2 linked regions of the Canis lupus familiaris genome follow. The protein of the gene in region 1 interacts with the protein of each later gene in a pairwise test. Links are inferred from orthologs where the notes say so. Each region holds a gene or a part of one and is shown in the gene's direction. Other genes may lie near its edges.

Region 1 (3,544 bases):
GATTACATGGCAGTACGGAGGGTTGTTAATACTAGATGTTTTTGGCTTTGACTAGAACCTTGTTTGTGCAAGTAGAAGCCAAGTGACAGAGGATAACAGAAAATCAACAGAAGGACATTAGAGGAAGACACACACAAAACAGTTTTAAAGTATCCTTGTTTCTCAAAAACTAAATCAGCACTGTCCAAGGGTCATTCTCCCCAGGAATGAGCCCAACTTCCTGGAATCTGTCCTCTTAACTGTGGTGACAGCTGCAGTCCTGCCAGCCCAGTGTCTCTTCTCAGCCCTGGCCAGCTCCTTCCCTCTGCTGGAGTCAGAGTCCACACCAGAGATGTTACAGAAAAGTTTCCAAAGGGAAGCACCAGTTAAACATCCCAGGTAAAACTGGTGTGTGTTCTGGTTTATTCCCTATTTCAACTTTGCTCAGAAGTGCTCTTCATTTATGGTGTGTTTTAGGCTCATGAATTACTTAACAGGTCCCCTAATGCTTTGGGTCCATGTGCCAGAGCAAAGGGATGGACTTTAGATGTCATTATAGCAGCTTAGTCTCTGTCCAGATGTCCTCTGTAGAAATCCAGTCAGTGTCACAGAGCCAGGCTCTGTCCCTGTGTGTGGGTGACACCATGGCCATTATTTTTCTCTTGTCACCTGCTGAGCAGCTCAGAATGTGCAGAATGGACACATGCAGCTGGAGCTGACACCCCCTTCAAACTTTTAGCCCAACAGGTGTTTGTTGTTTTTTTTCTTTTCTTTTTTTTTTTTTTAATCTCAATAAATAGCACTTTCAACATTTTAATTCTAAGGCCTTTTCAAATACTAATCCGTTTAATCCTCAGAACATCTGCACTGCTATTATTTTGATTTTATAGGTAAGGAACCTGAGGTACACAGAGAGGTTAAGTCTGTTTGCCTGGCTCACACAATTGGGTGTGGGGGAGATGTGATGGGGCACAGGCATGCTGTTCTTATGTCTGTGCTCTGAACTCCTGCTCTGTGCTGGCGCCCTGCTGAATATAACAGGGTAATGTTTTACAAATGTCTTGCTCAGTTTGGGTTGGCTGCAGGTGGCTGGTGGCTTCTCTGTATGAGAAGGTGACATGGAATCTGCTGAGCATCTCAGTATCTCCCGAGACCCAGCACGGTCTGAGCCTGTCTTCCAGGAGCCTGAGATTAGTACCGAGATTTGTGGGTGGGAGGGGTGGAGGAACACCCACCAGGCACCTGACGTCAGCAGAGAAAGGCATTCATGACTCCTAGAGAATGCAGAGAGGTCACTGGGTTTCTCGAGTAGAAACCAGGATGGAATAGCAGAACTTTCACAAGATGAGTCTGAGACTGCAGTCGTCCTGGGTGACCTGTGGGGAAGTCTTGGAGGAAAGGGCAGCTGGCTGGGGTACGTGTGCATGGGACATGGTGGGGAGGGTTGCGTGCATGCGGGGAAGAGGACGAAGATGGATATTCAGAATAGCTTTTAGAGGAACGATTTTTGAAGCTCTCATCTTAGAATTCACATCAAGTGGTGCTTTGTCTTGTCTTCCACACTCCTTAAACTCTTTTTTTTTTAAATGATTTTATTTATTTAGTCGAGAGAGAGGCAGAGACACAGACAGAGGGAGAAGCAGGCTCCCTGCGGGGAGCCCAATGTGGGACTCAATCCCAGGACCCCAGGCTCATGCCCTGAGCCAAGGGCAGATGCTCAACTGAGCTACCCAGGCATCCCCACACTCCACTCATTAAATTCTAAGCTCAGTTTCAAAGTTTGGAGCTCTGTGAGAATAATAAGGTGAGGGGACCTAGAGGAAGGACAGACATAGAGACTCCTCTCTGGGTGTTGAAACTCCCCAGCCCCTCTAACGTATCCCGCCTGGTTCCCCGTAGCAATGGGGTCTGTTCTGGTCACTTCCTTGCTGGCTCCCTCCTGCCCTGCAGAACCAGGTCCAGAATCCACAAACCACCAACCCTGCGGTGGCTCAGTGTGGCCTCTCCCTCAGCAGACCCCACCTCGGGCCTAGCAGAGCCTCTTTGTGCCACAAACCCCTGTCACTTGATTGTTTCTGGTCTTGTTTTTTTGACTGAACCACAGGAGTTCTCTCTAAGAGAGAACCTTGAGCTGACCTTCAAGGCAGGGTCCTGCGGAGTGCCCATGGGTCAGCCTCAGAAGTTAGTGGTCTCTGCTCAGTGCCCCCGAATCAGGAGGATGGTATGATCCTTCATCTCTGGGAGTCCAGATTTCCTAACGCAGGGCTCTTTCTAACACAGAAAGCGAGGTTGAGTAAATATGTGAGCTCATGCTGTGTTGGCATGGAGGGCATTGCCTTGTGGACTCCCTCATGGAAAAGGGAGTGTTTCTGGGACCCTGAGCTGGTAATGTACTGATGCAGGCCGACGTCTTTCTTTACAGAATACGCTTGGGATTCTGTGTGTTTGTCCTTCTTTTTTTTTTCTTTTAACACTCAAACACTTTTCCAGACCCGGGAGGAATTTTACCTTCCAGACGGATTTGTAAGAAGAGCTACAAGAGCGCATTTAACTTCTCCTGTGTGATGACCTAAAATGGCATTCCATTTCTTTAGCACTTGGATCGTGAAAAAAGAAAAGGGAAAAAAATCTGCAGGTGCTGTTTCCTCCTCGGGGGAAGGTTAGTTTGATCTTGCACATCAGCAGACACTGAAGAGATGACACACACACCCCGCGTCCAAAACTAACAACACAACAGTGTTTACCTTGAGCTCTGGCAGGAAATCATTATTCAATCTCGTTTGTTTTATCAGGCAATTCCAGGGCCACACAGATGGGGCCAGCTGTATTGACATTTCTAACGATGGCACCAAGCTCTGGACGGGTGGCCTGGACAACACGGTCAGGTCCTGGGACCTACGCGAGGGGCGCCAGCTGCAGCAGCACGACTTCACCTCACAGGTGATGTGCTTTTCCCCACAGGAATCTCTGAAGTGGCCTGTGTGTGATGTCTTCCTCCCTTCATACCCCGTGGCAGTAATTATGAGGCAGACAGACTAGCCTTAAATTTGAGATACCCATTTAAAACAAACAATAAAAAAACCCCACAAACAAAGCCTCTGAAATGCTTAGCGTGGTTTCTAAAACTTTGTCAGTAAGACCTGTGAGTTTTACTTATATGTGAGTTCACCGCAGGAACTTGTTCAGCAAAGGACATACAGTTTGACCTGCTGTACATATTCCCATCATCTAGTGTGGGGGGTGAGAGGTCATTATTGGATCCACATATAAACAGAGCTTGAAAAATGTGCCGGGTTATCATGAGGAGTCAAGAAAAATCACAACACTCTGAAAGTTAATTCATTTCCCTTGCATAGGGGAGCTTAAAAAATGCAGCAGCATCTCAGTGGTTGCCCATTTTCTTATTCATCCCTCGGAAACTGGACTCGTGGCTGGCTAGATTTATGGAGGTTTGAAATTACAGGAAATGGCAACTTTGTGGGTCATGGAGATGAGTTAGATATCGAGTATCTGAATCTAGACTTGTTCTGGGAACAACGGTGCCATTCTAGGTGTCTTCTGACGG
Region 2 (3,635 bases), on another chromosome or scaffold:
GTGCAGCGCTACTGCGGGGCAGGTGCGCTCCCACCAGGAGGAGGAAGAGGAATAGGGAGGCGGAGACCTAAACAGTGAGTAGATAGATCCTTGGAGGGGTGTTGAAGAGTGTTCCAGGTGGGAGGCTCAGCCTGTGCCAAGGCGTGCTGCCCAGAGCCCATCTTGCCCGTCCAGCCTCGCTGTGCCGGGAACAGCCGGGGTCCCCAGGGTGCTGCCCAGGGCGCGGCCCCCCGCCCACACACCCCACCCGCAGGGAGGCCGGTCTGGCAGATGGGCGGCCGCGGGGGGCGGGGGCGGTCGTCTGGCGGACACAGGCTCACCCGCCATCCGCCGCTGGACAAAGCGCGCCTAGACAAAGGCGCGGCCAACACCTGTCGCTCTTGGCGCGGCCCTCGCTTTTCTCCAGCGGAGCCGCTGCAGCTGCCAACTGTCATGGGCATCAAGTTACGGAGACCAGACGGCGGCCTCGGCCAGTGGGGGGGGGGTGCTGGGGGGGAAAGGGAGGCGAGGAGGGCGGGGGGGGGGCGGAGGAGCCTGGCCCGGGAGAATGAACAGGAGTGGGGAGAAGGACGGGGCGGGAGCGGGGGGAGGGGGGGCAGGGAAGGGCGGGGACGAGGGCAGGGATGTCCGTGCGGGGAGGGCGGGGGGCGGGGGAGTGAAGGGGATTAGGGGGACCTGCGGGGCTCAGGGGGGCAGCGATGATGGTTAGAAAGGAAAGGCCTGCTGGTGTGGGGGGGTGCCCGGGAGAAGGGTGACCCGAGGAGGGCAGGGCGGCCCCGCGCGGGCGCAGGACGCGGTGCAGGGTCGAGTCCCGCGCGGGAGGGACCAGCACGCAGGGGTCTCCGGGGAGCCAGGGAGCCGCTCGCCACCCCGGGAGCCCCCTTGACGGTGCCGGCCCCCCGGCCCCCCGGCCCCCCGGCCCCCGACGCCCCTCGGGAGGCCCCTGGCGCGGACTAGGACGAGGGACCGAGGGATGCGGCCCCGGCGCACGCGGACCCGGGGGCCTGGCTCAGGTAGGGGCAACAGAGGCGCCCCCGCGGCCGCGCCCCGGGTCACTGCCCCCTCGGGCGCCCCAGGCCGCGGCGGGGGCGCGGAGGCCGCGCTGGGGGCCCCGCCGGCCCCGCCCCACCAGCTGCCGGGCGGCGGGCGGCGGCGGCGGGGCCGGACAATGCGCGCCGCTCCCATTGGCCGCCGCGCGCCCCGAGCCCGCGGCCCCGAGCCCGGCCGGCCAATCCGCGCATTGAGATGCAAATGAGGGGCTATAAGAGGGGCGGGGCGCGGCGGGGCGGCGAGGGCGCGGCGGGCTCCGGGCTCCGGGCTCCGGGCTCCGGGCTCCGAGCCGGGCGGGCATGGCTCCGCCCCTGGCGCCGGGACGGGACCGCGCGGGCCGGGAGCACGAGGACGGCTGGGAGGCGCGGGGGGACCGCAAGGTGCGGGGCGCGGGCGCGGGCGGGCGGGGGCGGGGGGCCGGGCCGGGGCTCAGTCGGCCGCTTCCCGCAGGCCCGGAAGCCCCTGGTGGAGAAGAAGCGGCGCGCGCGGATCAACGAGAGCCTCCAGGAGCTGCGGCTGCTGCTGGCGGGCGCCGAGGTGAGGGCGGGCGGGGGCGCGCGCGGGGGCGCGGCGGGGGCGCGGGGGCGCGGCGGGGGCACGGCCCGGCCTCACCGCGCCGCCCCGCCCCGCCCCGCCGCCGCAGGTGCAGGCCAAGCTGGAGAACGCCGAGGTGCTGGAGCTGACGGTGCGGCGTGTGCAGGGCACGCTGCGGGGCCGCGCGCGCGGTGAGTGGCGGGGGCGCGGGCGGGCCGGGGCTGGGCACCCCCCGCCCGGCGACCTCAGGGCCCCTGGGGGAGCCCGGCCTCCGCAGTCGCCGCTCACCGGCCCCGGGCCGCCGCTCTCTCCCTCCCGCCCCCGGGCGCAGAGCGCGAGCAGCTGCAGGCGGAGGCGAGCGAGCGCTTCGCGGCCGGCTACATCCAGTGCATGCACGAGGTGCACACGTTCGTGTCCACGTGCCAGGCCATCGATGCCACCGTCGCCGCAGAACTCCTGAACCACCTGCTCGAGTCCATGCCCCTGCGCGAGGGCAGCAGCTTCCGGGATCTGCTGGGGGACGCCCTGGCCGGGCCGCCGGGAGCCCCCGGGCGAAGCGGCTGGCCCACGGGAGGGGTCCTGGGGTCCCCTCTGCCCAGCCCCCCAGGCCCCGGGGACGACCCGTGCTCCGACCTGGAGGAGGCCCCCGAGGCTGAACTGACCCGAGCGCCGGCCGAAGGGCCAGACTTGGTGCCAGCAGCCCTGGGCAGCCTGACCGCTACCCGCGTAGCCCAGAGCGTCTGGAGGCCTTGGTGACCAGCTCCAGCCCGAGGTGTGCAAGGGTGGCCGTGGCCTTCCCTTGCTCCGCTCCTGCCTCCCTGCGGTCCAGATGTGTGGGGCGGGGACCTGGGTGCCTCCCAGGTGGGCCGGCTCTCTTCCCCGGGTGCTTGGGTGGCAGGGCAGCGGGGATGAGCAGCCCAGGCAGGCCCCTAGCCGTGTTTCTTAAGGAAGTCCATCTCTTATGGACCCCACAGCTCCCCCCGGGTGGGTGCAGGGCGGGAGCTACAGGCAGGAGGAGGAATCTTACAGAACTACCAGGGTTCTCCAGGGTCTCACTGTCCCGGCCTTCTCGGGGACTGTGTGGATCTGGGGGCAGACGTGACCAGAGTGGCGCTGAAGCCCTTCTCGGTGTGGGGCACTCGGGACCGGGACGGAGGGAGACCTCAGACCCCGACGGCCCTGGCCTGAGCAGCAGCTTGAACTTGCCCCTTCAGTCGGACACGGGGGAGGCAGGTGCTTTCTGCACACATGTTGCCCATGTGTGCCAGAGAGAAGCAAAGCCCCCTGAACGTCTTGCATCTAGCACATTTGAGTCTGTGTTATTAGTTTACCATCAGATGTTCTGGTTTTATTAAATAAAGGTTTTTGGAGAGTTAGTTACCCTTCTGGAGTGGGGCTGAATGATGTGGTGTCATTAATGTGTCTAATGTGTAAATACTAAACTAAGGGCGTTCTTCCTGTATCTAATGCCAGTGAGTGTTTCTAAAGCCTGTTCCCCTCTGTCGGCAAAGTTAGTAGCGTAATGGTGGTGGCGAGGAGGCCCCCTGTGGCCTGTCTCACCGTGGGTAGTGCCTCCACCTCCCTGGGAATGCTGTGCGCCCTGGAGATGGGGTTTGTCTCCAGAGTAACCAAGCAACAGGGAAATAGTGTGTCCCGGGACCATTCTCGGATTCACGAGCTTCTAGGAATAAAATGAATGGCTACTTCCTAGCCATGTGCTTTGAAGTTTCTTTAAAATCTTTTTTAAGATTTTATTTATTCATGAGAGACAGAGAGAGAGAGAGGCAGAAGGAGAAGCAGGCTCCATGCACGGAGCCCGATGTGGGACTCGATCCCGGGACTCCAGGATTACACCCTGGGCCAAAGGCAGGCACTAAACTGCTGACTCCCTCCCCCCGCCCCCCCCCCCCCCCCCCCCGCACTGGGATCTCCAATCAAAGACCTGTTTTAGGATCTATGAGCATGATGCGATGGCAGGTGGTCACTTTTCCTGACAGAAGAGGAACCATACCCCAATACCAGTGAGTTCAGGGACACAGACCCTCCCAGTT

The links.
Region 2: the proteins of TLE1 (region 1) and HES6 interact in binary tests that used the Homo sapiens proteins (3 or more experiments, as listed by UniProt). The link is inferred for Canis lupus familiaris from reciprocal best matches to the Homo sapiens genes TLE1 and HES6.

The regions. Positions count from the first base shown.
Region 1 is NC_049222.1:78,253,959-78,257,502, forward strand, and holds part of TLE1 (transducin-like enhancer protein 1), read left to right. Parts: intron 1-2,771; coding exon 2,772-2,919; intron 2,920-3,544. UniProt on the Homo sapiens protein: Transcriptional corepressor that binds to a number of transcription factors. Inhibits NF-kappa-B-regulated gene expression. Inhibits the transcriptional activation mediated by FOXA2, and by CTNNB1 and TCF family members in Wnt signaling.
Region 2 is NC_049246.1:48,991,767-48,995,401, reverse strand, and holds HES6 (transcription cofactor HES-6), read left to right. Parts: upstream 1-1,292; 5' UTR 1,293-1,349; coding exon 1,350-1,430; intron 1,431-1,500; coding exon 1,501-1,587; intron 1,588-1,693; coding exon 1,694-1,775; intron 1,776-1,915; coding exon 1,916-2,340; 3' UTR 2,341-2,985; downstream 2,986-3,635. UniProt on the Homo sapiens protein: Does not bind DNA itself but suppresses both HES1-mediated N box-dependent transcriptional repression and binding of HES1 to E box sequences.